Struthio camelus: one gene and its partners. The protein of the gene in region 4 purifies or fractionates together with the protein of the main gene of each other region. This does not show direct contact. Links are inferred from orthologs where the notes say so. Each region holds a gene or a part of one and is shown on either strand. Other genes may lie near its edges.

Evidence for each region.
Region 1: the proteins of XPO1 (region 4) and NUP88 purify together in Homo sapiens (affinity purification with mass spectrometry; 3 studies listed by BioGRID and IntAct, with this or other methods). This does not show direct contact. The link is inferred for Struthio camelus from reciprocal best matches to the Homo sapiens genes XPO1 and NUP88.
Region 2: the proteins of XPO1 (region 4) and BACH1 purify together in Homo sapiens (affinity purification with western blotting; 3 studies listed by BioGRID, with this or other methods). This does not show direct contact. The link is inferred for Struthio camelus from reciprocal best matches to the Homo sapiens genes XPO1 and BACH1.
Region 3: the proteins of XPO1 (region 4) and RCC1 purify together in Homo sapiens (affinity purification with mass spectrometry; 3 studies listed by BioGRID and IntAct, with this or other methods). This does not show direct contact. The link is inferred for Struthio camelus from reciprocal best matches to the Homo sapiens genes XPO1 and RCC1.

Annotation. Positions count from the first base shown.
Region 1 is NC_090957.1:13,531,083-13,538,663, forward strand, and holds the start of NUP88 (nuclear pore complex protein Nup88), read left to right. Parts: upstream 1-4,301; 5' UTR 4,302-4,323; coding exon 4,324-4,566; intron 4,567-5,484; coding exon 5,485-5,654; intron 5,655-6,142; coding exon 6,143-6,268; intron 6,269-6,482; coding exon 6,483-6,569; intron 6,570-7,160; coding exon 7,161-7,337; intron 7,338-7,581. Other genes in the region: RPAIN (RPA-interacting protein), read right to left, coding at 818-847, 1,429-1,563, 1,701-1,764, 2,338-2,452, 2,982-3,045, 3,638-3,826, 4,044-4,121. UniProt on the Homo sapiens protein: Component of nuclear pore complex.
Region 2 is NC_090942.1:118,932,606-118,940,587, reverse strand, and holds the start of BACH1 (transcription regulator protein BACH1), read right to left. Parts: upstream 3,281-7,982; 5' UTR 3,043-3,280; intron 1,517-3,042; exon of another isoform or gene 1,464-1,516; intron 1-1,463. UniProt on the Homo sapiens protein: Transcriptional regulator that acts as a repressor or activator, depending on the context. Binds to NF-E2 DNA binding sites. Plays important roles in coordinating transcription activation and repression by MAFK.
Region 3 is NC_090964.1:6,353,065-6,360,992, forward strand, and holds the start of RCC1 (regulator of chromosome condensation), read right to left. Parts: upstream 3,281-7,928; 5' UTR 3,194-3,280; intron 3,109-3,193; exon of another isoform or gene 2,904-3,108; intron 2,783-2,903; 5' UTR 2,736-2,782; intron 1,989-2,735; 5' UTR 1,931-1,988; intron 1-1,930. Other genes in the region: PHACTR4 (phosphatase and actin regulator 4), read right to left, coding at 5,395-5,410, 6,179-6,255, 6,920-7,057. UniProt on the Homo sapiens protein: Guanine-nucleotide releasing factor that promotes the exchange of Ran-bound GDP by GTP, and thereby plays an important role in RAN-mediated functions in nuclear import and mitosis.
Region 4 is NC_090944.1:131,248,797-131,255,999, reverse strand, and holds the start of XPO1 (exportin-1), read right to left. Parts: upstream 3,299-7,203; 5' UTR 3,147-3,298; intron 3,079-3,146; exon of another isoform or gene 2,431-3,078; 5' UTR 2,407-2,430; intron 1,735-2,406; exon of another isoform or gene 1,558-1,734; intron 1-1,557. UniProt on the Homo sapiens protein: Mediates the nuclear export of cellular proteins (cargos) bearing a leucine-rich nuclear export signal (NES) and of RNAs.

The DNA.
Region 1 (7,581 bases), on a different chromosome or scaffold from region 4:
TACTGAGGTAGAGAATTAAGCTGCTTTACTGTGGTTTCAGTTTAACATAATTTTCCTTTATGACTCAACGAGAAATGTGTCTCATGACTGTTTGCAGAGGCTGACCAGAGCTGACCACATTGACCATGGGAGGAACAGGATTCTCTCCATCCTCCTGAAGCCTTGGCTGTCAGGAATCCAAATCCAAGCACCTGCTGTTCCCACCCGCTAGCCAGCCAACACTATAGTGTTTTGAGAGTCGTCTTTGTCTCACGAGAAATACATTCAACTTACGTTTCTCTTTGCTGTCCTTCTGCCCGTCTATGCATTGTTAACCCAGGTGTATTAAAACAATATTTGTTTACTAATTAATCGGACCCATGCTCAAATAGGGGGACGCCTCACACAAAAGCAAAGCTTTTGTACCAGAGCAGTCCCATTCCTTTAGGAGGATCCTATACTGAAAAGGAACTAGGTTTTGGTGCTTTGTGTAGTTAAGCCTACAGGGACTCCTCTGTTCTCTACAACAGAAGAAAAGGATATAACAAAGCACAGATGCTGTCAGTGAAAAGAAAACAAAAGCGAAAGCCAGTGCAAGCTGTGATATCACTGATGCACTGATTATAATAATAAAAAAACATGGAAGCTGAAATAAACTAGGTCTATTTATTTCAAAATATTTACTGTGTCATCAAAAGTGCAAGTTAAGGCAATACTACTGCCTTGTCAAATATGTTTTTGACACAACAGTTACAAGTATATACATAATAGTAGCAGCTCTGGGCAGATTTTTAAACTCAAGAAGTTCTTCCAGTGAAAAAACAGCAGCGAAATCAAGTTACAGGAGAATCATCCAGGAGTCACAGACCTTTACAAGAAGTAAGGGAAGTTAAACAAACAGACAAACTCTACTCATACATTTTATATATAACTCTATTAATATACAAAACTGAAATGCTCTGTTCCTAAAACTGTAGTCAGATAGGTACACATATCAGTGCCCAGCAGTTCTACTTAAGCAGCAAGTTTAAGTCCTTCCTGCTAGCTCTAGCTTGAGCCGAAGTTACGGTATGTGGGTTCTCTAAGAGGCCTGAGCTGTTCGAGGAGGCCTAAACTGAAATAACTTTTACAGCTTTTCTTCAGGAAACACTTCTCAAAATAGATGCTCTACACAAGGCAAAGTTGTTTGCTAAGGTGTGAGAAAGGAAGTCAGCTAATTTGATAGGTCCTCAAAAGACTCCCTAATCCAGCAGTTAAGGTGTATTTTGTAAATTGTGTAATGCTACTGCCCTTCCTTTCATGGTTGCAGGTAGTCAAGAGAGTCTGAGAGAAACAGCAACCCAAACCACTGAGGTCAATGGACTGCTGCTTTCTGTGTGTAGCTAAATAGGTAGTACAGAAGTTGGTCTGACCCAAGAGCCTTTCCAGAAACTTGACATTTAGACTCACCGAACAGCTCATGAGAAGACTGGTTTCTTCCTCCATTCCGCTGGTAACAGTAAACTCTGGATTGTGAAAGCACCTGTGACTGTGCTCTGTTATAGTGTTTTCTAGAACTGACCGGAGCTTCTCTTCTGTCATATCCTGAGATAAATTGGGTTAAAAGAAATCTTAGACTTAAGTTGCTCCGTAGCTTAAAACTGCCTCCTCTTGTTCAGAAGGAGGCTGACCTCGCAATAGACAGAGGATGTTAATTACACTTCATCCACAACATAGCTTACCTGTGTACTGATGTATAATCCACACTGGCAAAAAACCAAGTGATTCCGCACGGTCAGGTTATTCCTAAGAAGACAGCAGACACTGAGCATCTTCACAACAACAACTAGAACAAAGGCAGACCTTAGCAAGAGTTGTTAGATTTTTGGAGCTCGTTGCTCAGTTTTCTATTTTGTTGAAATACCCACAAACAGGAGCCTGTGTTTGCCTGTTGCTTTTGTTAGCGCCTGTTTCTAAGCCCAAACTTTTTATGTGCGGGAGGAGGGTGGAGAATCAATCCCTCTTTGTGCTAATTATGGCTAGGTTGATTGCAGCACCAAGGTTCCTCACAGAATACTTTGTTCCATGAATGGCACAGAAGAGAAATTCTGTGCTATCACCTTGCAGCTGAAATTCAGCCTTAACTTACACAATGATCTTGTTGTAACTCCCTTCAGAGTGCTCTAGACAGAGGCGGCTGCACGAAAAGACCCAAATATCTTGCACAGAACAACAGGAAAGAAGCCAGCGTTCATTAAGAGAACAATATCTAGAGTAGCACAGCTTTTGAGTGCTGCTCAGACCTGCAAGACTACGGAGTAGAGAAGCCCTGGGAGGCTTCTGTCACGCATCTCGTTCCAGCGCCAAGAGCGTTCTTACTTTCTACACACGGGGCAGATGATCTTGTCACCGGCATCCAAGCCATCAAGCATCGCATTGAGACATTCTTCATCAAACTGAAGACTTCGCTCATATTCTTCTATAAGCAACTGTTCTGCAATCAAGGAACAGAACACCCTCGGGCATCTGTTATGAGCTCAAGATGCTACAGAAACATGCATGAAGTTGCTTGGTGGACAGTCTGTGACAGCCACTACTTCTGAACGTGTCTATCTTATCTTTGGATCGCATTTCTACACTTGGAGGAATGATTCCTGTTAATCTAGTTTTTCCTATGGCTCAATCCTTAGGCGGTCTCAACTGTGCAAATATAACACACTTCAACCAGCAACCTAGAAATACTTTGCATTGATTTATACATGCTCCTACAGCTCCCAAACGTCACAGTGCTGTCTCCTGACTCTATTAGCTTCTCACAGACCCTAAAGCGCCATTCAAACTTACAACTGTCACAAAGGGCTCAGTGCCCTAGAGAGGCCACAGATACTTCCAAAGAGGCTCTTCTTGAAACTCCCATGGTCTACAAGAACTAAGGAGTTCAGTCTCACCCCCGTTTGGATTACTAGAAAGTCAGAAATATTACGATTTAAACTGAAGTCTGAAAAAGCGTTTTGAGAAATTACCTTGCAACACCAATTCATGTTGGATTTCTTCCAGCACTGCTAGTTCGTCAGGATCCTCTAGCATCTGAAAGGTGCATCAGTCAGTAATTCTCCCATTCTGCCTACATTCTCCCTTATTTTCCAGCGCCTGACTAAGCTGTCAGTGTAATGTAAGTTCACTCCTTACTTGTCTATCTGTCACATCTCTGCATTTGCAAAAACATGCACTGTAGAAAGCAACATACACGATACTAATCTGTGCAAAAATATTCATAAGGGATGGGATCACAGGCTGCCCAAGAATCTGCCTTTTAAAACGTTAGAGTCTTTTTACCATTTCTTGGAAGTGAAAGCAGTCAGTGACACGAGCGCTCTGAAAACCACAGCTGTGGAAATCCCCCCTCTGCTGCGATTCATGCCCAGCTTGTGCTGGAAATAAGGAAGTTCCCCGCTCCTGGGCCCGAAGGCCACCGCTCTCACAGCTGTTTCACGACATCCCGCACTAGCTGCCGAAGCTCGAAACCCAGAAGGTCTGAGCTGGGCCAACTCCAAGCAGAGGAGGCTGGAGCTCACCGGGGAAGAAAGCAGCTACAGCGGCAGAGCGGTGCACCCGATGTGCCCACCTCCGACGGGCGACATCCCGAGGCGAGGAGCCCGAAGGCGGCGGCAGTACCGACCTGTGCCAAGGGCTGCTCGCCGCGCAGGGAGGGCAGGCTGCCGGGCGCGGAGCGCAGGGCCTGCCACTCCTGCTCCATCACCTCCTGCACCAGCTGCGCGCCCAGGGCCGAGGCGCCGACGCGCTGCCCGGCCTGCCGGTACCGGTCCAGCAGCTTCGCCCGGCTGTTGCGCAGCCTCTCCACGCAGCGCTGCGGAGACAACACGGGCCCGTCAGTGACGCGCGGGGGGGGGGGGGGGGGGGCTGCTACAGCACTGGCGGAGCGGAGCGGCTGTAGCGGCAGTCGGCGCCCGCCCGGTAACGGCGCCCAGGCCCAGCCCACGCCGCCCGCTCCCGCAGCGCCTCGCTGCGCGCCCGGAGGCCGCCAGACGGCTCCCCCTCTCCCCCGGCGCGGCGGCCCCGCTCACCCGGCGGTAGGTCTCCTTCCAGGGCGGCGCCGCCGGCCCCTTGTACAGGGCGCGGTGCCGCCGCAGCGGCGCCTCCATGGCCGCCCGCCGCCGCCGCCACCCCCGCCACCCCGCCCCGCCTCGCCCGCCGCCGCGCCGCGGGCATGCCGGGAGCCGCCGTCACCCCGCCCCGGGGCACGCTGGGAGATGCAGTCCGGGCCGACGCGAGCCGATGGGAGCCGCTGATTGGCTGCGAGGGCGGGGCGGGCGGGCGGGGGAGGAGGCGGCGCGGCGCGGCGCGATGGCGGCCGAGTGGGGCCCGGCGGAGCAGTGGCGCGCGGCGCTGCCGCAGCACGCGGTGCTCTGCCGCCTCCGCGAGCGCAGCGCCGCCGCCGCCGCCGCCCCGCGGCCGCCGCTCATCCGCAACCTGCTCTTCGGCCTCGACGGCGACCTCTTCCTCTGGGACGGCGAGAGCAGCGCCCTGCACACCATCGGCCTCCGCCGCCTCGGCGGCCCCGAGCCCGCGGGGCTGGGCCGCTACCAGGTGGGGAGAGCCGTTAGCGGGGGGGGAGGGGAACCGTTATGGGGGGGGGGATCTGGGGCCGTTAGCGGGGGGGAGGGGGGACCGTTATCGGGTGAGGGGCGTCTGGGGCCGTTAGCTGGGGGGGGAGGAGTGGGGGACCGTTATGGGGCGGGGGGGGCTGGGGCGGTTGGCGGGTAGGGACGACATGGATCGGGGGAACGTGGGGTCCTTACCGGCCGGGGCCGGGGGGGTCGTTACCGGGAGGGGCTGGACCGGGACCGGGGGGAGGATGGAGATCGTTACCGGGAGAGGCCGGAGATGGGGACGGGATCGTCACCGGGACGTGGGGGATCGTTACCGGGAGAGGCCGGGACCGAGGGAGGAGATGGGGACGGCGATGGGTACCGGGAGGGGCCGTGGGGCAGCGAGCAGGGCCCCGTGGGGCCGGCGTGCGCTGGGCAGCGGCAGGGCCGGGCTGCGGGGCCGGGGCCGGGCTCAGCGGCGAGGGGCGGCCGAGGGCCCTGTTGCCGCCTGGGCGGGGGGGCCCCCTGGCCCCGCTTGCCGCCCTCCCGGCTCGCACTTGCCCCCTGTCACCGAGCCGCTGCCGCGTGCAGGACTGGGGGTAAAACCATCAGCCGAGGAGCACGCGTGGGTCGGCGTGGTGGCGGCTTCCCCGTGGCCGTGCAGCCGCTGTGTCCGTCGCGGCTGGGCTGGAGGAGTTAAGTGACGTGTGGCTGCAGAAGTACTTCTCAACGTGGGGCCCTCGCTCAGGGAAACGGATGGATTTTTTGTATGATGGTGTGGCTTGAAACAAGCTTTATTTATCACCCCATGGCCTGTGCATAAATCGCCGTGCAAACTGGATACTAAATCCTGAACGCTGTACTTCCATGAGCGTTTCTGATGGCTTGCGTTTAACTGTAACACTTTTATTTTCAGACTCTTCTCTGCATAAATCCCCCCCTTTTTGAGGTCTATCAAACACTGTTAAGCCCCACGCAGCATCATGTGGCGCTCATTGGTACTAAAGGGCTCATGGTACTGGAACTGCCTAAACGCTGGGGGAAGAATTCTGAATTTGAAGGTGGGAAATCAACAGTCAACTGCAGGTGGGTAAGACCTGAGGTGGTTCATGATATCCTGTCTTGCTGTTTGTTCCATGAGAGCCTCTGTTCTCGTCTGGCTAGATAGGAAAGGCATTGGTTGTATCAGGGTTGTAGAGACAATCACAAACGCGGTTATTTTGGCTCGGGGTTTGCTGTTTGGTTGTTGCTTGTTGCAACAAAGCTTGTTGCAATTGCAGAGGAACAAGGTATTCTTCTGTATTTTTCACTAACCATTTGGATCTTTTAGCATTGGCAGGTAAAAGCACGTTTTCAGGTGGAAATGGCAAAGGGCTACATATTAAAGCTGTCCCTTCAGCCTTAAGAATTATACAGCCAATGCCTTTGAAACATTTTAAATGGGTTTCCCCTTCTTCTTGCCCCTACTTTCCCCTGGAAGTAGTAACTCATTCTGTTTTTGTTTTTGGGAGGGATGTGTGGTTCTTTCGCTGTTGTTTTTTGGTAACATTGCACGCTTCTGCTCTGTATTACAGTACTATTCCTATTGCGGAAAGGTTCTTCACAAGTTCAACATCTCTGACTTTAAAGCATGCTGCCTGGTATCCCTGTGAGACATTAGAGCCCCATATTGTGCTGTTGACTTCAGATAACACCATAAGGTAAAACCTGTTTATAACTGATCATCAACTTTTTTTTGTAGTAGCCAGTCTGATTTTTCACTGGATCTTTTTGCATCACCATTCTCACCGGGTTTACCAAAAAAACGTAGACTGGGAAAAATTTTAGGCTGATAACTACTGATGTTTCTGTATCAGCAGGGACGCGTGCAACGCTGACAACTGAATTAACATTGTTCCTATCTCTTTTCTCCAGGATTTACAGTCTAAAGGTGCCTCAGACACCCATCAAAGTGATTGCTCTCTCAGACGCTGAAGAGGAGACTTTAATAATAAATAAAGGGTTTGTGTGGCTTCTTGTTTTTGAAATGTATCAAATGTGTTTTTAATTGAATGAGTGGTAAATCCACTAGAAAATCTTCTCATGTCTTATTGGTGCGCTAGCTGCACCTTTTTTTACCCCACGTTTATTTAAAAAAAAAAAAAAAAGGAGGAACAAGCTGTACAGTCTAGTGTTTGCTGGCATTTGAAAAATACACATTACACATCATCCTTAACATGTGGTTAAAAAGGGCTTTCTGAGAGAGGAATGCAGAAAATAATTGTCCTTCTCTTTTCTCCTTGGCCTAACTGAAAAGGAGAAACTCGAGGATCTTGGCTAGTCAAGCCATAGACTGATATATTACACAGGAAATACCGGTACGTCCCCTTGTATCCTGAGAAGTTGGACTGGCTGGTGAGCGTATTTCAGAAATGCGGCACAGGAAGAAAGATGTTACCTGCAGGCTTTTGCTGCTGAACATAGGACATCAAAGAACTGATTGTCAGCTGTTTAGCAGTAGTTTGTCTGACAGCACATACTGATGGACCTAGATAAATAACCTGTGTTCTCCCAGTCATTGCTGACTTCAGGTTTTGTTTCGACTTGTCCCAGGAGGGCCTACACAGCATCGCTTGGAGAAACTGCAGTGGCGTTTGACTTTGGCCCACTGGTGCCACTCCCAAAGAACATAGTTGGACAGCGAGGGAGCGAAGAAGTGTTGGCCTATCCTCTGTACATTTTATATGAAAATGGGGAGACATTCCTCACATATATCAGTCTGATACAGAGGTAGGCCTCACACTCATCCTTACGTTTCATGTGGTGGTTGTATGTTTGTGCAATGCTTGGATTTCAGAGCCATCTCTCAGCCTGGCTCGGGTTCTGGAATGGATGCTAGGCTGGCTTTACGATATTGCAAACTGTTCTGTCTTCTCCCATGGCAGTACCAATAGACTTCAATCCAAGAATAGCGAGGCTTTCTTTTTTGATCCAGAGGTGAAAGGTTCAGTTTCCAATGCTGACAACCAGCAGT
Region 2 (7,982 bases), on a different chromosome or scaffold from region 4:
TAACGTTTGCTGTTCCTGCTTGCACTCTTTATTTACTTATCAAGGTATTAGCCAACAGGCCAAAATCAGAATCCAACCACACTCCTACCAACATAATCCTGAGAGTTAAAAGAAGCAACTCAAACTCGTTATCTCCACATGATTCTAATAACTACCTGAACATTCTTTGAGATCCGTGCTCTCATCTAAAGGCGTTTTGGCTGCCTCTTCTCTCCAATGTACTTCACTAATGTTTCCAAAGTCAATTTGCCCTTCTTTTTAAAGCTTCAGTAGCTGACAGTCAGTTGAGCTTTACTCTGACCTGCAAACTCACATTTAGACCAACTACTGTTCACCAAGATTTCCTTTCATATAAGGTCTTAACTGAAAAACACAGAACACTGCTGGAGATGAAGATAACTTTTGTGATACAGCTTATGATTTATTCCAGCAAGATGAGCCTTTCTGTGATTTCCTCCGTCCCCTCAACTTGTTAATCTCTGAGCTGAAGGGAAAGGGGGAGCTGCAGAGGGGTCCTAATGTATTATTGGTACTTAGGTCATACCAGGCTGAATTCACACAACTTAATAGCTGCTTCAGCAGCTATTTTTCCGCTTACTTGAGATTTCGCAGAAGTGGATAGACATCAACTAACATTAACTATAGCTTAACTTAGGGTTGCATATAACCCTAAGTTAACCCTTTACAGCACTCATGCTATAAAGATAAATACCACATAGGATATTTCAGTCCCTAAAACTTCGTCATGAACCTTTCAGCAGTAGAACTCTGACAACTAAAATGTCAGCACTCACATATACCTAAATCCTTTGACCAATCTACCATGCCTCCCTCTCACACCAACATGCCCAGTGCATTGAGAAAGACAGGTCTACGACTACCAGGAAACCTATGAGGAGTTTATCAGAGCGCTTCTCATTTTATAGAAACGAGAGGGGGGAGAATAAAGACTCTTGAGTTATATTTTCCTAAAGCTATAGGGCAAAGTTATCTGGGACTCACACACCTGATATATGAGGCAACCTCTATTCTACCCCCACAGACATTTTTAGTCTACGCCCAATGATAGTGCTACATCTAAATGAATGCAAAGGGTATAGTTTTTAATATGAGACAATTCTAATAGCAGAAAGTAATGACAGATTAATGTGCTGACTTTCACAGACATAATCAAATCCATATATTTTCTACTTTATTAAGATTACTACTGATCAAAATATGTTTAGTACAAGGATTTTAGAACCTATTAAGCAAATCAATATTTATTACTCCAAGATCTTGCACATTTTTGAGTATAAAATACACAATTTATACTCAAAATTACTTTATATATATATACACACATACAGACTCACTCTCAACATAAAATATTGACAGTAGATGCTATGTGAACTTCTGTATTAGAGTTTCAGTCAATCAGAAGAGCATTTCTAAAGCACGTTTCCCCCAAACATCCTACTTACTATAATTCTATTCACTTCACAGGATGGTCTTGGACTAGAACAAAACAGGTTCTCTGTGGATAAAAAGAAACTGGAAAACGTACTCCAGAAGTACATCTAAGGAAGTACAAATACTAAGTGATCCATTAGAGCTAACCTGAAGTAAAGCCTTCCAAAAGCACATACAACGCGGATAGTCTGTTTTCAGCAACAACAGTTTCTCTCTGTAAATCTACTATTTTTGGGGTCTTACTATGTGCTATTACACACACAGCTTCACTCACATATGTAAGGGAGTACAAGAGGAACTATGCTGATTGAATCACCTTTAAAGTTAAGCTCATAAGCCATAAAACAAAATTTGGATTATCTAAGCAGCTTTAATTTGGACTCACTATGCTTGGTTGGGTGATTCTCATTTGTTTTCTCTTCAGTATGGTGTAATATTCTGCGATAAAAGACTATATTACTAGAGCATTCATTGTGCTGTGTAACCTTAATTTACAGTGTTTCTTCCTGCTGTATTACAAATACTCCACTACTACAATCAAACATTTTCCATGCACCTATCTGATGTGCCTCAAATTAAGACCTCTTGCAAGAATTACTATAGGATCGTATACATATTATATGTATATAGTTATCTTTGATTGCTGCAATGTTTACCTTCCTTTTTTTTTTTTTAACTATATATTCAACACGTGTTTCTGAGGTCCCGGTTGTGCATGTATTTAGGATTACTGTGGTATTAACATACTAAAAATGGAGAATGTAAACAGAATGTGATGTAAATGCATCATCACCTGCTTTTCTAATTACTTCATTTTCAACATTTCCAAAGCATGCCAAGGATTTCACAGTACAGAACAAGACAGACAGGATTTATATCTCTTTGTTTATAGTCTAAAATAAATCTTTCCCAGCCTTCCAAACACATATGATGCGTGTTTCACCTAAGCAAAACACAGTCACCGCTGGGATTTCCAGCGCTGTAGAGTTGCCCCTTTCACACAAGGCTGGCGAGCGCAGACTGGGAGAGTCACGCCTGTGTTACCGGAGCGCACGGGCACTTGGGCACCCACTGAAACCCGCAGGAGACGCTGAATAACGACTAAAAGCTCGTGCCCAAAGCACAGAGGCATCTGGCGCAGCGCCAAGTCGGACTTCGGGGGGGGGGGGGGTGTAAAATACCCGAAGACATGACACTAGGGAGCGGGGAAGGGGGGAGGGGCAAGGCCGCCGCCCGGTGCCCGACGCAGGCAGGACGCCGCCGCCGCCGCTCGGCTCCCCCCCCGCCCTGCTCCGGCCTGACGTCCTCCCCACCGCGGGACCCAGCCTCCGACAGCGGCCGCCCGCCTGCCCCGCCGCGGGACCGGCCACTACTCCGACCGCCGGAGGAGGGTGGGGGGGGGGGGGGAAGAGGGACACATGAATAACACCGCCCCTGTAAACATGCCGCAGCCTCCTCCGCTTCCCCCCCCTCCTCCGTCGGAATGGTGCTTCCCTCGCGCCCCCCCCCCCTTCAGCCCAACGGCCGGTCCCAACGGACACCGAGCGGCCGCGCGCGCGCCTTCTCTCCCCCCCGCCCCGCGCCTCTCACCTCAGCACCTTCCGCCGCGCCGCCACCCCTCCGCGCGGACACCGTCACCCGCGGGCCGGCCGGTGGCCGGACGGCAGCCGCCTTCACCGCCTTCCTCCTCCTCCCGCTCCCCCTGACTCGGCTGTTCCTGCCACAGAGGCTGCGGCCCGACTGCGGCGAGAGCAGTCAGGTGACTCCCAACAACATTACTCGCCTTGCCGCCCCGTTCCTCCCCCCCACCCTTCCCCCCGCCTTCCCCTTCCACACCCCGCCCGCTGATTGGACGCGGCGCTCCCCACCGACGCGCAGCCGCCCACAGCGCCGCGCCCCGCGCCTGCGCGCTGCCACCGGCGGCTTGGCGGCGGCCCGCGCCCCGGGGCAGCGCCGGGCCCTGCCGCCGCCCCTTCCCTCCCCTCCCCCCCGCTCCCTCCTGAGGGCGGCCGTTAGCGGCCGTTGGGGGAGTCGGAGAGGGGGGGCGCTGGGCGCGGTGCCCCCACCGGCGGGCAGTGGCGGTCGCCTCGTGTGCCGCCTCTCACGGGGAGAGCCCGGGTGCTTGTGTTTCGCAGGTGGAAAACTCTTACTTGTTTTAGGCGTGCGGCTGGAGGTCTGTGTTGGGAAATGCTACCGCTTAGGAGTCTTGGTTGGCAATGCGATTTTTAACGTTTCTACGCTAGGGAATGTCAGTCAAGCGTTTGGCAGAGATAGCGGCCTGAGGGTGTTTTTGCTGGTATAATTTGTTTACTTGCTGAGCTTGGCTAAAACACTTTCTGATAGTGGGAGCTGTGCTGATACGAGGACGAGTTGCTGGAAGTGTCCCACTGAGAGACCTTTCCTAGTTTAGGCCTGATTTTTCAACCAGCTATCGTGGTCTGTGCTGTGCTATGTAGGAGGAGATAAGATGTCAAGTAAGGCAGAAAACATCGTGGAGCAAGTTGACGTGAAGAGATAGCCTTCAGTTAGCAACGGACAAACTAATGCTAGAAACGAAAACAGTGTGATATTACCGTTGAGCTAGTAGGCCTTTTGAAAAGCAGACTAGGATGCTGGGTGCTGTGTGAACATAGCTTCCTCCTGGAAAACATACTGTTTTCCAGTCTTGCCTAGTATTTTTGTGCGATGCCAGGTACATGTACCAATTCAGCGTAAGCTCTTTTAGGGATATCTTAGAAAGCAGTGTATATTACCCTGATCAGGACTGAAGAATTTGCTGGACTTTGCTAAATGGTTGTCCCCTTCTCTAGAGTAAGTTGGAGCATATGTAAGGTTTTTACTGCAGCTCCAAATAGCCAGAGGGTAGCTTCCTCTCCCCAGTATGGTCTTCAAGGGAAATGCAAAGAAAAAATTAGTGCTCGGGTGTTGCTACGAGATGGAAAAATTAAAAAATTCAGCTCTATTGTATATTAAAAGCAGATAAATTCTCTCTTGAACAGATTGGAAGTGGGTGAACTCCATGAACCCTGTTTTTTCAAAGATGCCACTGGAGGTAGCCGCCTTCCTGCATATCCTGAATAAAACATTAATGGTGGCAGTTGTGAATGATGCTGCCAGTAACCTGAATGGAAATGAACACCATCATTTTGATATTTAAACAAAGTTCAACAATTGTATTTACATTTGAATTATGGAATTGCATTCATGCATTCTGTATAAATACAGAATAAGACAGGCCCTGAGAGATTCTATACTTCATTTTAGCTCTTCTGCAAATTATGGGGGAAGGTACGAACAAGATCTTGCTGGTAATTCTTGGTAATACTAGGTATGTGTAAAAGGGGAGGGGAGTTCCCTTCATATTTAGGTATAATGAGTGAACGTAAGTTCACTGTTTCTAACTCAGAAACAGATGAAACCTTAGGGAAAAATGTGTATGTTCGAGTGTCATTTTTAAAAGCATACTTTTATCTATTATTTTGCCCACACGTGTTGTAATGTTGCTTTTATAAAGAATTACTGTTAGAATGGTAACTCTAATGAAATTCTTTTCTTTATTTCCAGTGCCCAGGCAGCTAGAAATTAAACAGCTAGGAGGTTTGAGGGACCTACAATTGATTTCTACCCCAAGCAGTGAACTAAGAAATGAAGTTTCATTTTCACTGCAAATTAGAAAGGAGCTTTTCAATAGCTTTCCTTAATAGTCATTATACCAGATTAAAACTGGTAACAGACAGGAAATCCCTGACTGTTTATTGATTCTTTTGTTAGCTCAAGAGAGACTCCTGAATGGGATTTTTTTTTTTTTTTATGGGGAGTGGCTGCATTCACTCTAAGTCCTTCAATCTCATTCTTGCAAGGTGTATTTTGTTAGTATTTCTTTGGCTCCATTTCTTTAATCAGACATCTTAATTTCCACCCAACGTGAAAGTGACAAGCTGATGCACTGTAAAAGCAGATCTGCAACCATACCCTGGGAAGAAGTTCCAGATCACTTACTCAAGGGTTCGCACTTTCTCTGGGCCATGAAAAGTTACAGTACTTACGGCAAATTGTGCAAGCAGATGGAAAAGTCTGCACCATAAAAGCTGTCTTTTCCGCAGTCAGCAACATTCAAAGTAGATATTGGCACCTTATCTAGATTTGTGCCAGGTGAAAGCCAGTCTGTTTTTTTGTTAACACCTGCTGTAGGCCTGGCACATAAACTTTAGCCATCTTCCAAAGTGACACACCTTTCATTGCTTTTACGCGTTCCTGTGTTCTTCAAGAGCCTTTAATGTGGGCTAGTAAGGCTGAGTATCAGTTTTTTGTCAGCTTTTTGTAACTGACAAGCATACAAAACAAATAAAAGCAATGTGAATAAGGTAGATCATCTTTATTATGTTGGCTGTAGACAAGGTTTAGTCAAGTGCTGTTTTCTCTAAAAGGCCTACACTAAGCAGGATTATGTGGCTATATGATCATCCATGACCAAAAAAATGTTGCATGTATGCCACACTGGAGCTGATGAGGCAAAGGAAGGTACCAAGTCAAAAGAGATGCTGAAAGAATATAAAGAACACAGCAGTGTAAAGTATGTGACTAAACAAGGAATGGAAGGTTTAAAAATGTATGTTGACTTAAGAGCAAATTTGAATCTTTGGTTACTAATGTAAAATTATGCTATCAGTTGCTTTTACAAATGATCTTTGTGAGCGGTCTTCAGAAGAGAGTGAGGCCTTTTAGGTAAGAAAAATCTTCCATTAGAAGGAAGGATTGCCTTATACTCTCCATTCCCTACTTCTCCATGGAATTCCTCTGTCAGATTTGTCCATGTGTATTTCTGCTAAGGGTACAAATTATCTCCATTACTTTATAGATTAAAATAACCCCTCTTTAACAGTTCTTTTCATATGTAACAGAACTATTATTATTCCTGTGTTTATACAGCTCTTCTATTTTGAGTAAGTAAGAATTTATTAGCGTCCCCAATTTACAACTATATCTTAAAATGAGCATATGAGAGGTTTGTAATCTCACACAGGGTTTAGCAAAATCGCACATAATGAGGAGAGAGTGTAGTTCTCTCTGCTCTTCGCATGGAGAGTGTATTGTTCAAAATTCTGGGTCTTTCAGTTTTGATAGAGACTAATACAGATTTTCCTTTTGTGACTGTTTGATAACTGCTTTCCACTTCGCTAAGAAGGCATTTAATTAGTCTTTAGTTGGCTGTTACATTCCACAAGTATAACCAAGGTTTCATTACAAAAGAACATAAGCAATTTGCCAGTAAATAAATTCATGAGACAGCCATTTGATAATGTTGTCCAAATAGTATCCTTTTGCTTGAGATTTGGATACTACCAGTTTTACAATTTTACTAATAACATATTTTGAATCTTAAGTTTTTATAGTTGCCCCTTATATTTTCAGTGACCTGTAGTTCTCGTGCCCTTATACATGTTGGTGATTCCCAATCCCCAAATACTCCAGATATAAAGAAAGCAGCTTTAGAAAGATTGTTTAGGTTGTAAAATTTGAGTTACAGAAATACCTGTTCTCAAATGTAAAGCCTAAACAGAAAATTTCAATACCTACCATTAGACTAAGAGAGTTTTTTTCTGCCCTTCCACTTAAGATTCTTGTGAGGGAACAGCAGAGGGAGGAAACTAATCAAAACAAAAAGAACCTGAAATTTGGCCAAATCTTGGACCGCACCCACCAAGAAGGGATCTTCATCTCTTCATCTCTTGTTCTCAGTCCTAAGGATGATGCAATGCTGACTTCCCACACAATAGAGAATGAAATTATGGTGTAATAACTTGTTGCTCACTCATAGTCAGACTGAGGAACCAAATAACTACTTTCCTCATTGAATTTAGACACAACTGGAGAGAGGACAAATTTAAAAAAAAAAAAAAGCTAGGCCTTTTTTTTTTTTTTTTTTCCTAAAAAGGAGAAGTAAAACCAGCAAAAAAGAGATCTGGGAGCTAAGCTGAAAAATAAGGAAGCAGATCTTCCTGCATATGAACAATGAATGTTTTAAAGTTTAAACAATATATAAATTGAGATTATAAGTGTTCACTGAAGCATTCACGTAATTAGAAGGAAACAATAATGTCTCATTAATTTTTTGGTAATAGAATTATTTTCTGATACACTGAAGTCATTAATGGGATTTTAAAGCTCATTATATAATGTGCTTGTATTTCCCTGAGAAGCATGGCTGTAACTATCTCTTTGCTAGTGTCATTTACTGGCTCTGGCACAGTGGATGCCCCAGCCTTAGCTAGTACTGGTTGTGGCCAGACCACACTGAGTTCTGGGCTAGTCTATGTGGGGTAATGGCCCAACGAGATGGAAGTGGTATATAATCTGTGTTGGATACTGGCACAACCTGAAATAAGGAACATTGTAGGACATCTTTAATACTATATTTCATCTTCAGTACCCTTGCCCTCAGTTCCTGTGCTGCTGAACCTTGATTCATACCGTAGACACTTGGCTAGTAAGTTCTCCAGAGGTAAATTGCAACATATCCCAACTCTTAA
Region 3 (7,928 bases), on a different chromosome or scaffold from region 4:
CTTGCAGGTGTAGGATTTAAACCAGTTTGTGACAGGATGCAATAGGAAAACAAGCACTTGCCAGCTCAGAGTTAGAAAAAGACAACCAGCCTATCTAGGAAAGTGCATGTCAAGAAGAAAGCACATCTATTTGCATTTGCCCTTTCCCCCATGAAAAATTTACATGCCATGAGGTGATCTGCAACCACTTCAGCACAGTTCCAAGCCAGGCGCAACCTCAAGTCTTGCCAGGATCAGCTCAAGCTCCAGAGAGCAAGCAGACAGCCCCACTACCCCCATACACCCTCAGCATTCAACCCATGAGCCAGCAAGTTTCAAACCAGGTACCCAAGACAGACAACTGCTCCTCCAACCCTCCCCCACAGGCATTCACCAGCCTCACCATCCGGTTCAAGCAAGGTTCATCGACTCTCAGAGCAAGGAGAAAGGGCATTCTCCCAAGTTAAATAGCCCATGAGCTATTTAACCCATGAGTGGCACCTCTAGGCCAACTCCAGGCAGACTTTACAAGGCAGCTGTGCTGTTCTCAGACTGCTCTGCAGAGCTGGACTTACAGCTCACGACCACACGCTCGCTCTTACCACGTTCCTCGACTGTGCACGCTCCCTTCAGGTCTCCTCCCACAGCAACCTTCAGTATTTTGTCCTTCAAGGCCCTTTTCCTGTTTAGAAGTTTGTCAGGACAAACACCCCTCTGCTCTTTGTGCCCATTCCACTGTTTCAGACTGTGAAACAGGTTTCTCGTGTAACTCATCCTTATGTTCAACACCCAGGGGTAGATACATGCTCCACTGACCAGGTGGGGAACATTGCAGCTATGAAGCAAAGCTGCTGACATTTAAGTTAAAAGTTCCAAAGGGGTTCATAGGTTCAACAGGAATAAAAAAAGCCTCTAAAGCCTTTGACTTAATTGCAGGGAGAAAATATCTCCCAAAGTATGAAGGATATTTGGAACTTAAAGCAAAGGCACTCCACACCCTCCTCCCCCACCAAACCCTACAGACCAGGGAACTCTGGTGGTTGTAAAGGATACAAAATACCATATATTTATCGGTATCCTCACCAGTATATTTAGTGATAATCATGCTGCTGCTATGACCTTCCTAGCTCAAAAGCAGGCATCACTGGAGATGACGCTGGGCAGACTCTAAAGATCTTCCGAAGGACAACCCTGCTACATTAGCTATGAAACCCTAGAAGTTTAGTCATGGGTCCTGAGCTTCAAGGAATGAACAAATGGCCAACAGTCATGCCAGAAAAAACAGCCATACAACACCATTTCAAAGTAATTTCTTTATTTGTCAGGCATAGCATCACAAACCTCCAGGACATTCACAGAAGTAATTCAAAACTTCCTGAACAGACATTAACACAAGCTATATATGACTTTCACGCCATACTCACACTCTTTTGCCTTCTTCCCCAGCACCAAACAATTCATCTCACCTACAACCAGAAAGATTCACAATGGCTTGCTTCATTTCTCTGGCTCCATTTCAGGTTAAGCACCACAGACAGGTTATCCAAACATTTAACAAGCATTCTCCTAGCTTGTGTAGACAACGTGCACTGGCACACTGATTTCAGGTGCTGTGCACCACGGCCCTTTGTTCCTACAGGCTTTCTCCACTATGTTCCTCAGAGCGTGGCTAAGCCGTGCAGGGTCAGCCCTGCTGAGCAGGCCCTGCTTCACTGTGCAACATTCAACAGTTAGCATGCCATGCAACCACCAGGGCCTTTTCTTCTGATACAGCAGAAAACAGCAGGCCCCCAGAATGAGCACATGCTATTAGATAGCCAAATACAGACATCTTCTCCTTCCAGCCTACTCCAGTGTCTGCGGTCTCATTTTGATTCAACACTTTGCATGAATTGGACCTCATCTACTTCCTCTATTTTCTGGTTGGTAGAGGTGCTCTGAGCATACTCACCATCCCACTAGGCAGACAGGTTACTTTCTGCTGTTAGCATCTCACACTCAGTCAGGGTCTGCAATGTTAAAAAAATTCAACAACAAAAAAAAAAGAATCTTAAAACTTGGCAAGTCACATGGGTTTTTTGCTGTTTATGATCTGCCAGGAAGCACTTTTGTTCTCCCCCTTCTGTAAGGGGCACACAGGGTGCTACGATACTAGCATATATTTTTTCAAGGGACCTCTATCTATTCTGTTAATCCATTCTGCTCATCCATTAAATACACCATTATCAGGTACAAGTACCAGGTATCAAGTACAGGACAGTCACATGCTCCCAGTCCTAAGTAATTGTGGCCCGTGGCTTCTTTCAATGTAATCCCAATGCTCCAGTACCCAGATCAATGATCCACGTTGTTCTTCACAGATGATGTTAAAGTCTGCTCTAGGACTGATTAACATGAGCACATGGGCGATTGCCCCAAGCTCACTAAATCCACAAGTACAATTCAACCATACTTCAGAAACGAATTTTTTTCTATTTTTTTCCTTAAGATTCAGAAGTTAACCTCTCTTTCCCCCCCAATCCATCTAAAGTCTTGTGACATCTCAGAAGTGGGGAAATATCTAAAGCTAAGTTTTCGCTCTTAAATAGTGCCTACCAAGTCTATAATGGTATTCAATTACCTCAAGCTGTTGACCCAATTCATTTTGCGTAAGCCAGCTAAAGGAGTATAGTTCAAGCTTCTTTAGAGAACAAACTATTAAGAGAGCGGCATAACTACAAACACGGAACAATATTACATTACTAGTGCAACATTACCTTGAAAAATCAACGCCCCATTCACTTCAAGCTTCTCAAGCTTACAACTGAAATAAAGAAAACAATATTTTAAGTAACCGCTTGCAAATTAGACCTCATTCGCACTTCTCCCCAAAGCACGCGCAGCGGCTGCCCAACCCCAGCGCAAAGCTATCCCCGAGTTACAGTATTTGTCTCCTGCATGGTTTATCTCCTCCGTCACAGTCCGAGGACTCGGAGAAGCAGTAGGAATATGCAGGCTGCAGACCCGAGGCCCGGCTTCTTCTCCAACGTTGTGGAAAGGGACTGTACGTCACAGGCCCGAAGGCCTACGCTCCCCCGCGCCACACGGACAGAGCCGAGAGAGAGCTACTTCTCCGGATATCCACGTTGGGTTTAGCTCCAGAGCGCCGCAGCCACCCTCAACCCCGGAGCCCAGGGCGCCCCCGCTGCCCCCTACCCCCGCGGCGACACCTCACCTCCGCCCTCTCCGCTCGCCGCCCACAAAGAGACCGAGGAGCTCCGCGCCGCGGAATTTATAGGGCGGGGCGGGGCGGGGCTAGCGTTCCGCGCATGCGCCGCCGGCAGCAGCGCGAGGAGACTGCGCAGCTGCAGGTTTCGATTGGGCAGCTGGTCCGGCGCGTGCGCAGTGTGGGGGAGGGGCCGGGAAGGGCCGCGCGTGCGCAGGGAGAGAGCGCGGGAAAAGGGAAAGGAGCTAACAGCGCGTGCGCAGTGGGAAGGCGCCGGGACGGGGCGGGGGACAGCGCGTGCGTAGCGGGAGGGCGCCGGAAAGGGGCGGGGGGACCGCGCATGCGCAGTGGGAGAGCGCCGGGAAAGGGTGGGGGGACGGCGCGTGCGCGGCGGGAGGGCGCCGGGAAAGGGTGGGGGGACGGCGCGTGCGCGGCGGGAGGGCGCAAAAGGCCGAACCCGCAGCAAACGTCCCGGTTTTTTGTATTTCCCCCTAAAGCTGGCATCGCCAGCCGCTGCGGAGAGGAAGAGGAGTCCGAGCATTCCCTCCCCTTGCCCAGTCCCTTCCCAGAAAGTCCCTTTGAAACGCAGCTCTCCCCCTCCTCACACCATGAAGCCATAAAAATCAGTCTTTTTAAAAAACAAATCCTAAAATACTTTTATTCAATAATTAAAATCTGTTGAGGAGGAGAAGGATATACAACAATGCAATGATTTAGTCCACAGCCATACTGGGGGGAGGGGGGGAAGCCATGAAGGAGGACGCACCCGCTGCCCAGCATGGCGGCAGCAGGGGACAAGGCCGCGCGGGCCGCCCTCGGCTCGGCCTCGCCCGGGAGCCGCAGCGAGCGGTGCCGACGGTCCGGGCGAGGGCAGGGGGACCCCGGCGCAGCAGCTCTCGGCACAGCAGGCCCCAGGGAGTGGGCGCAGAGCGGTGCCCAGGCCCGGCCTGCGGCGGCCCCTCACCCTGCGGTCGAGCGGTCTGTGAACAAGGCGAGTCCTCCCGCCCCGCTGCGCCGCCTCCCCTCTCCCCTTCCTTCAGGGCTGGTGGCATCGCAGCCGCAGGGCTAGGCTTTGCGCACCAGAATTAAAAATCCAAACACTCAGGAAGAACCGACAAGAAATCATTCTCCAAAGAGAACGAAGAGCTGTTTTAAGGTCACTTTTTAAACCTCTTCTCCCCCCCCCCCACCTTCCACCCACACAGTGAAGTTATCAAGTTTCCAGTAGGTTTTGCTGTTTTAAAAAAAAAAAAAGAGAGAAAAGGCAAGTTGCACCCTGATCTGTGAGAATTAAAACAAAAAAAATACAGAGGAAGCCACAATAAAAAGAACTAACTACTATCACAGCTTCCCCAAATTGACTGTTGCCTTTCTACAATGTTTTAAGTTCCTGGCTCTGTAATTTGTTAAACAAGCCTAAGTATCTCAAGGCAAGATCTGTTAACATCAGAGCAAGTGTGAGAGAGTGGAGAGGGAATGTTTTTATACATTTAAGGGTTTTTTTTTGTTGTGTGTGGGGGTTTTTGTTTTTGTTTTTTTTTAAACAAAAGATGCAGCATATGTTAATATCTATACAATTCCCTTCCAGGACAACAAAACCATTGGTCAGTAGTGATTCAGGACATTACGTACATTACAGAGACAAGCAAAACCAAAAAAAAAAAAAGAAGAGAGTCACATGTCAGTTGTCTGCCAGGTCAGCATCTGTGCAGGGTTTCTGTACACAGCTAATATACACACGTGCTTCCTGGCACATCCGCTTCTCCATTCCTCAGCTCTCAAACACCAGAGCTGCCGGGTTTTTTTTTCCCCCCTCTCCTTGGTAAGGAGAAGGAAAACTAAGAAGTTCCAATCATAAGGAGTATGTACAGCTGAGAACTGGGCCTGGCACAGTTGAGAAAGGGAGCTGGGGAAGGAACTGTTCATTCACATGTGCGTGGTCTCCCGGCAGGGATGCTGGTGCCAGGAGAGGCATATTGCTGAGCCGTGCGAGGTATAGTGTTCAGTTCCAGCCTGATGGCACTCGAGACGTGTTTGTTCCAGTGAAATGCTACATTCAGACAGGACACCCCCCTTTGCCCCCGAGAGCCCTTTTCTAGGTGTTTTGAAGGCAAATCGTGGAAGAGTTGAGGTTCACCCTCACTGAATTGCCAGGAGATGGATGCTGAGAACTTTCAGTCCTCTCGGATCTCTTGCTCCCTCCCGGAAGATTACGGTCGATGGTACCTAAACGCCCAGTGAAAAAGCCAAGTGTCACCCTTGGAACTTGGGGTAAATGGTTGCTGAAGTGTTACAGATGGACAACAAGAGTAAAGTGAGTTACATCTGAACTCTCAGCCCTCAGTTAAGCTGTTAACATCATAGGATTTCACCCCACCTTAGAAAGCTCCTCTGAGCCACAAACACACTCACCTTAGCCGCACAGGGCAACTTTCAGGGTAAAAAAAAGAATCACTTGGGCCATGATCCACTAGTTACTTTGCGGATATACCAGAGCTAACTACCAAGGTGTTTGGTGACAGACACCTGCCAGCTGCAGTAGACCTCAGAGCATCCTACAAAGAGCGGTCTAATGCTAACCCCATTTTCCAGGAGGCAAAGCTGAGAGGGAAAGCAAAATGCCTAAGGCTGTGGATTCTGCTGCCCATCTCCAGTCCCAGAACAGCACACTCCAGCTACAGTGGCTCCCAGTGGATCACAGTGGCTTCATCTACACCTCAGACCACCTCTGGTCACTTCTGAGACTACTGTATCAGAGCCCCATTTCAGGGAGAAACCATCACCTACTTCACATCACTCTTCCAGTCACCCAGCAACACCCCAAGGTAGAAAGGGGCATGAAACCTGCAACTATTGCACTGGTCATTTTTCTAAGGTTTTAAAGGTTGGCCTCTCAGCACTACCGCAGCAGCACTTGGTCTTGTTGCGCTCCCAACAAGAACAGCAGGAACTCTGAGCCCATGTACAGTGAGCGAGTAATGTATTCTCACTCACCGCGTGAACTGCTTGCTGTCCTCGTGGACTTCCATTTCACAGCTCTTAAATTCATTCAGTTCCTTCCGGATGGCAGCCTGCACAAAGAGGGAGAGATCTTTTTACCTCCCACTAAAGCACCCATCTCAAGTGAGCTTAGATGGGGTAAGAAGATGCTGTACTTCTACACCTGCTCAGGGCTGTTCCACGCCACCTTTCAGCGGTGAAGTGAAGGGTGACCGCAGTTTTGACAGGCAGGGCTGAGTCCCCCAGATCCTTTCAGTAGACAGAGGAGCTCAGAGTGCAGCAGCCTCCCCAGCTTCCTCAAGTCAGCCCACGCTAGACTGAGTTTAATCTGCCCTACCACTGCTACGCTGAGGGCTGGGCAGGTGGCTGGGGTGTGATAAGAACAGGGGATCTTCCCTGCCACCTTCTTGCCTGGGCCTGCCTCAGCCTGTGAGGAACTGCACTCCTCTGACCAACACCCCATGCCTTCTATTCTTGTATCATTTGGGAACTGAGAGGCAGGCCACACTGTTTGGGCTCCACGTTGCTGTGGAGGGAGCAGGAAGCGGGGCTGGGTACAGTGCATGCGGGTGATGGGATACTGCTGGTGCTTGGTGGGGTGGCACAGCAAAGGGAAAGGTGCAGAGGTGAAGCAAGAAGAACAGAGCAAGTCTCCTTTGCTCATACCCTTTTTTGCATGCAACACTCCAGTCTAGCTCTCCTCCCCAGACCTGGGGACAGGACACTCCCTGTTACCTTGTCAGCTGGTGTTAGCTTTGTCCATGGCTTATCCGCTCGCCGGTCATAGTCTTGAGCATCTGTTACTTCCACATATTCATTAAATCTCAGGATCTTCCTGGCCTGCAGCTCTGCCACTGTAGGCCTTTGGCTAAGCTGAACACAAGTGAGCACATGAGTGAGTTTGTACTTTGTCCACAAAGTGGCTCAGGACTAAGTAGCCCAGGCAAAACAAAGCCCAGTTCCCTCATTGGGCCTGAATTGCAGGTACCGCTAGGTCCTGCTCACGAAGCAGCCTGCAAAGGAGTAAGCAAATCCTCTTACAATCTACCTCTTACAAATCCTCTTACAGTCCTCATTTGGACCACGGGGCTGGGCTAGGGCAGAACCACAGCTACATTCCAGAGAAGGAGGATGCCACCAAAGGGTTTGGGTACAGCCACTGCAAGGGCAAGCCTTGTCTAACACCCCTGAGCCAAGCAAGCCCATTTTCTGCTTCAACAGTGGCAACACTCACACTCCACGTCCACAGGCCCTTGGGAAATTCTCCCCAGCAATGAGTAACACAGCTCAAACTCAGAAGGCCAGAATTAACTGCTGACTACGTCTGACACATAAGTGGGATCAACATATTAGAAAACAGGGTGGTATCTCAGTTTCAAGCCATGTTACGAAGGTGTTTGGTATAGATTTAGAGTCAGACTTCTAATGCCATGATTAAACATCCAATTAGAAGCAACTTGGACATAAGAGGTAAAACCACCTGTTGCTCAGCCCAGCTTCTCCCAAGCTGCTATTAGTTTGGAAATGGATTTTGGTGAGCCTGGGGTGGAAAAGTCATGGCCACTTTAGTACTCTGTTTGTTACATTACCACAGCCAGGCCAGCACCAACAAACTTTTCTAGTGGCAGGTGCCAAATTGCGTTGTCATATAGCTTGTTGCGCTTGATGCCGGCTCAGATCTGTCAGTACCAAACATGGCTGCAGTGCCAATGGCTCGCTGTTGCCGACAGATCAAGTTCCAAAG
Region 4 (7,203 bases):
GAAACACACTTTTGCACCTAGCATCAAGAAATCGTATTCACTTCTATACTGCAAAAATATTAAATGCTATAGAAAAGAACATTTCAGTTACATTTTAAAGCCATTAAATGCATATTTAATTAGTACTACTGCTCTAATGTGTTCATGTTGAGGGTTCCATCTCATCGTCCAGCCAGCATTTTTATAATATTTTGTTCTATCCTTCCAGGTAAACATCAAGTAAAAACTGAAATAAGTTAAACCATAACATTACACATCTGCCCTCCCCACTCAAGTTTTCAAGATCATAACGTTATGTATGGAAGCAAGACAAAAAAAAGGAATAAAGTTCTGCTAACTCAGAAAGACTCTTAAAAACTTCATCTTGTAAACGGGCAGTAAGCAGTACTACTGAAAAGAAAGCCAACCAATCAATATACTCTTCAGCTTAGAGCAGTTAATACTCCCACCAGACACACAGACTCCTAGGCATGTCCCTTTCTCCTCACATACCGTTTCCATGGCTCAACCGTGAGCTGGGAATGACGTTTTCAACTACAATAAACGTTTAAAATTAGATGTTCTTCAGGTAGCACCATTCATTCTGGATTTAAGCCCGTTTCAGTTGTTTTTATGCAGCGCTAAGGACGCAATCCAACAGCCGGGTGACTAAGAGAAGTTAGCAACCCCATGGAAGCCAAAAGGAAATGTTCTGAATAGGGTCCTTTGCCACTCCCAGCATTATCTTCAAAATGACCTACCTACTTGCAAACTGAAATACAGAAATGGTGGCTTTGTGGTCAATACCAGCTGCAATCAGCTCGATTTCCTACTCCTTATAGGGTACCCACATTAAGTTTATAACCTCTGATTTATTCTGCTCCTACACTTTTCCCATCACGCCTAAACCTGAACCGTTTTAACTGCCAGTTCCAGGCCCGGCTACAAATCAGTTCAACACTACTAGTAAGTGGGGCAACAAAAGCCAAACGAGAAGTTAAAAAAAAAAATTCTGAACACAGCAAGAATCTGACACCTATCGAAGGTCAGAAGAACTGCATTTACAGAATGCTGTTTACATAGTTATCCCAACTCTAAGTGACCCTGGACCTTAAGTTTAAGGCCACAATTATCTTATTATGGTCTACCTGAACCACTTGAGTATGTAGCACATCAGAATGAAAATACACATTTTAAAAAGGAAAAGGAAATACTTCGGAGTATTCACAACGGTCCCTAGAGCACATGCAACCATTTACAAAGTAAGGCAGCTAGAGAAAGCTGACTGGGGGCAGCAACTAATCAAAACAAAAACAGCAATAACAAAATCCACCACACGTGCACACACACACTAGGGAAGTCGCTCAGCTCCATCCTAAACACGTAATTCCATTGCTAAATGCAAGCGAATTACCACCCCGCTATCCTCTTCCATTCCAACGAGTTATTTGCATCACACTCGTCTATTTTTCCAGCTGCACAAGCAGAAACAGAGAGCACGCCACGAAGGCGTTTGCATTACACACAACACACCAGAAACCCTAATGAAACGATTGCTTCTCCCCCCCGCTACTTTACCGGCGCGGGCTCATGTGCAAGATTAAATCCACGCTGCCTGACAAAGCATCCGCCGGCGATCCCGGGGCATTCCTCCTTAGTACAGCTGCATCCCAACAGAGCGCCCCAAAATACCTCACGCCCGCCCGGCGCCGGGGCCTCCCGTGCCCAGCGCGGGGCCGGGCTCGGCGCCCCCGGGCCGCGGCGGGCGGGCCGGGGCCCTGCGGAGCGCGGCGGGGCCGCCGCAGCGCGGCCCCTCCCTCCCCCCTCCCTCCCTCCGCCCCAGCCCTGCGTTCTATACAGGGCCCCCACGTGATCCAGGCGGACGTTTCAATACTGCTGCACAGACACACAAAAAATATTTCTGGAAACTTCCACTCCTAATAATTTACAGATTATGTCCCTAGTTTTTCCCCGTGCCCGATCCCAATCCCCCTTCCCTCCCCCTCGGCCCCTCACACCGACTCGGAGGCCTCCCCCCCCACCCCCTCCCCGTCGGCAGCCGGGCCCGTGCGCCCCGGCGGCGGCTCCCGCACCCCCCGCCGCCGCTCTCCCCACGGCCCCAGCATCAGTGGTAGGCTCGGCTCCCTCTCCGGCTCCTCGGCAGGCACCGTAAGGCCTAGGATGCTTGTACCCCAGACCCGATTTATACCTCCCCCGCCCCCTCCGTTTCTGGTCAGGGCCCATTGCGCCTCTCTCTTGCCTCAGCCAAGACTTCGCGCCCTCCACGCACACCCGGCCGTAGCCCTCCCACTTCCCCCGCCTTTACGGCTCACGGCCCCACACCTTCCTCCTCCCGAGCTCTCTTCCCCCCCCCCCCCGCCCCACGCCTTACAACACCCCCGTCTCGCGCCCTTAGCAGTTACTTACCTAGGTGTTTCTTACAGCCTCTTCCTTCAAAAAGTAGGGGTGGGTGAGCGAAGTTTCTAACCACGCGCCGAAAAAAATGAAAATAATAAAAAAAAAAATCGAAAAATAAACCCCCCCCAAAAAAGCCCGAGGAGGGAAGCGGGGGGGTGGGTGGGGGAAGGAGGGAGAAATACACGCGCACCCTTCTCCCTGCGGAGTATTTATTATTAGCGTCACTCCTTTCCGCCCCACACTGCCCTCGAGCAAGCGTGTCCTGGCCTGACTACGCTGCGCGCTCAGCCCAAGGCTGCGGCCCCCGGGCCGGCGCCCCCGCTCCCCGCGGGGCTCCCTCCTGCCTCTCCGCCCCGCAGCAAGGCCGCCCGCCGCCGGGCGCGCAGCAAGCGGCGAGCGCTCCCCTCTCCTCTTTCCCGGGGGAGGGGTCCGCGCGGGGCTCCGGCTTCCCGAGGCCCCCCGGGGGACTCTCGCCTTCCTCGTGGCCCCGGCTGCCCGAGCTGCGGCTCGCCTGGGCCCTGGCTCTCTCCTCGTTAAGCCGCTGGCTCCCCAGGCCTCGGCCCGTGCGGCCGGCTCTCTCGCCTCCCCAGGCTCTCGCTACTCCCGCCGCTGCGGCCGCCCTCCCTCAGGCCTGGCCGCCGCTCAGTTCACCCCCATTCCCACCCCCCCCCCAAGCTCGCACTAAACTTTGCCCCCCCAGCTGTGTCGGCGGCTCCCCCTGCGGGCTCCCCTATGAGCAGGTCACACACACGGCGGCGGAGGCAGCGGTGGTAGCAGGGACTGAGCGCGGCGCGTCTCCCCCTCCTAAAGCCACAGACTCGGAACCGGCTCAAACCGGTTCAGACTGGGAGATTCCATCTCGGTTTAGTTTTCAGCCCATGGCGCCGCGGAGCGTTTGGAAACCTCAGGCCTCCGCCCAGCGGGCGTTCCCATTGGTCCCGGGCGCTGCCGCCGCGCAAGCGGCCTCCGCTCTCATTGGGCGGAGGGCCTGTCTATCCGCTGCGCGCCTCCGAGGGGTGGAGGGAGCGAGAAGCGGGCGGGGTGGGGGGGAAGATAGAGGGGATCCGCCCCCTCTCCAGCAGCGCTTTGCGCGCGGGAGGGGGGGGGCGGAGGCGGGCCGCTGCTCGCTGACAGGCCGAGCCGAGGTGTCACTCAGTCGCCGGCCCGCCTCGTAGTTCTTAAACCGCGGGCACAGGTGTTGCTGCGCTCCGATTGGCTGGTGGCTCGGTGTGACGTGCTGTTCTGAGGGCGGCTCTTAGGGCTGCGCTGGCGAAGGGTGCGCGCGCCGTGGGGGGAGGGGCGGCGCGGCGCGGCGTGTGGATGAGCGGCGGCGGTTGAGGGGGGCGGGCTCGCGCCGCTGGCGGGGAGCGCTCGTCCCTGAGGGAGAAGGGGCTCTCGGCCGGTTTGGGGGCGGCTCGAGCCGCCCGCCGGTGCCCCGTTAGCGCTGAGGCGTTGTTTCGGCGGGAGGGCAGGCTGGACCGAGAGGGCGCCGGTGACGAGGGGCCGGGTGGCGATGGCGGGCCTTGCCCCTCCGGGCGCCCTAGCTGGGGCCGGCTCAGCCAGGTGGATGCTGAGGCGTTGGGCCCTGCTGCGGTGTCCCTAGGCTGCGGGAGGCTAAAAGGCTATCCGGGTAGGCAGTGGAGGTTGAGGGCTGCTGTGTACCTCCCCGCGTTCCCTGCACCAAGGTCCGTGCAGCTCTGAAGCGCGGTCTCCCCCCCCTCCCCCACCCCGTTGTGCCTATATTTATAGGGTATCCGGCTTGCTGCAATAACTGTATCCCCCACAGTCTCTCAAAGATGCATCTCAGACTGTGGTTCAGGCAAGGCTGACTCACCTAGCAGTAAGAGAAACATAGCAGAAACGCTTGTCCACCAGAGCTGGTGAACAGGGATGACCTGAGGACCTAGGCTCAATTTTTAGGGGTGGCTCAAACTGAACAAGCTGGGGTCGTGAGTCTCATTGTCATGTGAAGGAGTGAAAGAATTTGCTTAGTAACTTTAACACGGAAAAACAGGGTCTTGTTAGACCTTCCATCTGTAACACAGTTATCTGCAGAAGTGCTCTATGAGAATTTACGTTCAGTACAGGTACTCAAGTTCTGTATAGCTAATTCAAAACCTAGCTCCTTGCTTGAAAAATGATGTGTATAGGAGACTTGTAAAAATCTCTGCCTCCTAAGAGGAGGAAAATACTGTGAAGTATTTCATTATCTTTCTAGTAACAAATACTGCAGTTGTCCAAACCTAGTTGGAGGTAAAGTTTTTTTTCTTTTGATTTTTTTGAAACAGCTATGCATTGCCAGTGAAACTCCTGTATAGAAGTGATGCCTTTTGTTTGTAGAATGCTCTGTCTTCGTTACAGTACCCAAAGGAAACTTGGGGTGTCCGTGGAGCTTGGAGATGTTGCGGAGCTAGACTATGGCCAAGAAGGGGAAAAAGCTTATGCTTGAGCCCTTTTGAACAGCTTTTTAAAAAAGTGAGTGCTTTTATGCATGTTCAGCATGAGGCTTTACAAAAGTCTATCCTCTAAGAAATGCTGACTTTTGCTAACAAAACCAGAGTCTTTTAGAGTTGCCTTTATTTCTCTCATGAACTGAAAGACTAAGTTTGCAGTTGTCTTTGAGAAACTAAACCGATATCTTCTGGTTCTGCTTCTTTTTTGCAAGATGGAAGTGCAGCAAATATCTGGGAATACTACAACGGGTCTTCTGAAAGGTAGATGTTTTCCTTGGTATTCCTGCAGAGTACACTAGAGTATTCAAGGGATTCTTCAGCTGAATATGTAGAGTTTAATTTGTAACATTAGTATTAACTTTGCTAGGCCAATTTCTTATGCTCTAAACTGTAGCAGGTTGCAAAAGGATTGGCATTAATAGACTAGCTTTACAAAAGTAAGCCCTTTGATTCTTGGCTGTTGCGTTATTAAAACAGAAATTATAAAAATGAACTGCAAAGTGAAGAGACATAGTAAGATCTGTGTTCCTTTATCAACATGTATTATTTCTATATCAATTATTGTTTTAAATCATCTGCCCGGGTAGTTGTGTTCACTTCTGGCATGTGAAATATAAGCCTCTCAACTAGTGTTTGTTTTTTATCTAAAGGCTCTAAGAAGCTTCTGGTAGAACCTCCTAGGATAAGTTCTCCACAGCTTTAGTAAAAACCTGTAGTAGAAATGAGCTGAGTGAGTACATGAAGAAGTATACAGCCATAGCGTGTATGGGATAATAATGGACGGGGTGATGACCTGTGAGACATCGTCTGCAAAAGTAAATGTCTAGAAAATGGCTATGGAATAGTTCTATAAGCTATGAATGTCAACATAAAATAAGATGTTTATTAAAATGAGTAGTTATTCAAGTTACCTGTGCATTCCTCAGTTTCTTTCTACTTTTTATTATGCTACAGCTTGTCTTTGTTGGTAAAAGCATTCAAAGATTTGTCTTCCGAAGTTGATGGATAATTACAGTACTGGCTTAATAAAGCTTTATTTCTGGAGTTTTTCTATGTGATTGTCCAAATTTTAACAGAGCAACCTTATCAGACAACTTATTCTCTACAGCTTATGTAATTTTTGATTGCGTTGTAGATGACAGCTTTGTATGTAATGTTTCCTGTGCTGACAATATGTTAAAGCCTACCCTTAAATAAAACTTCATGCTGCTTCAAAGACTGTTCAGTTAGCGTCTACAAAAGTTTAAGGAGTTGGTCGGTTTAAGTAGGAGGTAGCTCTTTCAACCAAGAGCCCATTCATAGACTACTTTTATTAATTTTTATATATATTTTCAGGATGGGAGCTTATTCTCTTGTATTGAATGTCTAGTCTGAGCTGAACTACTAGCTCCACAATGCTATGTGAAATTATGAAACTGCAGCGTCTATGAAGTAGTTCATAATGCCACTTAAGAATAATACCTTCTCAGGAAGTTACTTGTTCCCTATCACGTTTATTTCTTTAGCTGAGACTGCTTTTGAGACCACAGCCCCAAAAAGGAATACATTTCACACGATTAATACCAAATCCTGACCGATGATGTGATGTATTTCCAAGTTGAACAGGCACTTCTTCATTAGTGGAGAATCACCAAAAAGAAAAATTGTCTAAACTAAGCCAATAAATCAATGTTCAACCTAGAAATGCCGAACTTAATTAATGCCAAGATTAATTTTTTGTAGTAATCCCAAAGGAAAATTTCTAGTAGTGTGCAAGTCAATAAATAAACTTCAGTAAATAGACTATAGCTACACCTATTTCTACTGTACTCGTAACTATGATTCTCAATAGCCTTACAAGTTCTAGGCAGGCTGTGGATATTCCTGTCCCTCAGCCTTCACTTTGTGTTTTGTTGTGTTTTTAAAAATATATATATATATATATATATAAAAATATATATGTTTGTGTGTACACGTGTATATATATATATATACACACACATATACATGTAAAAAAAATTATGTGAAGGCTAGGGAACTAATGCTTGTATCCAAATAAACATTATTTATGTTTCAGGCAGAAGCTGAGGAGATTCAAGGCCATGTGATACCAGATTAGGTCCTGTGTGACGTGTTACTAGGGGAAATAGCTGAGCCACCAGAAAAGTCACAGGTCAGTTTGGCAGCGGGGAGAGCATACTGAAAGTGATGTAGTATCTGAGCTTGCCTTGGCTGAATCGGATGTTTGCAGAAGCTTTCTGGCCCATGTTTAGATGATGTCTTTAGACATCTAGACTTTGGATGTACTTAATAAGTTCACAAACTCTGAATTCAGAGTTTGTGAGAAAGACAAGACTACAAGGCCACCCAAAGT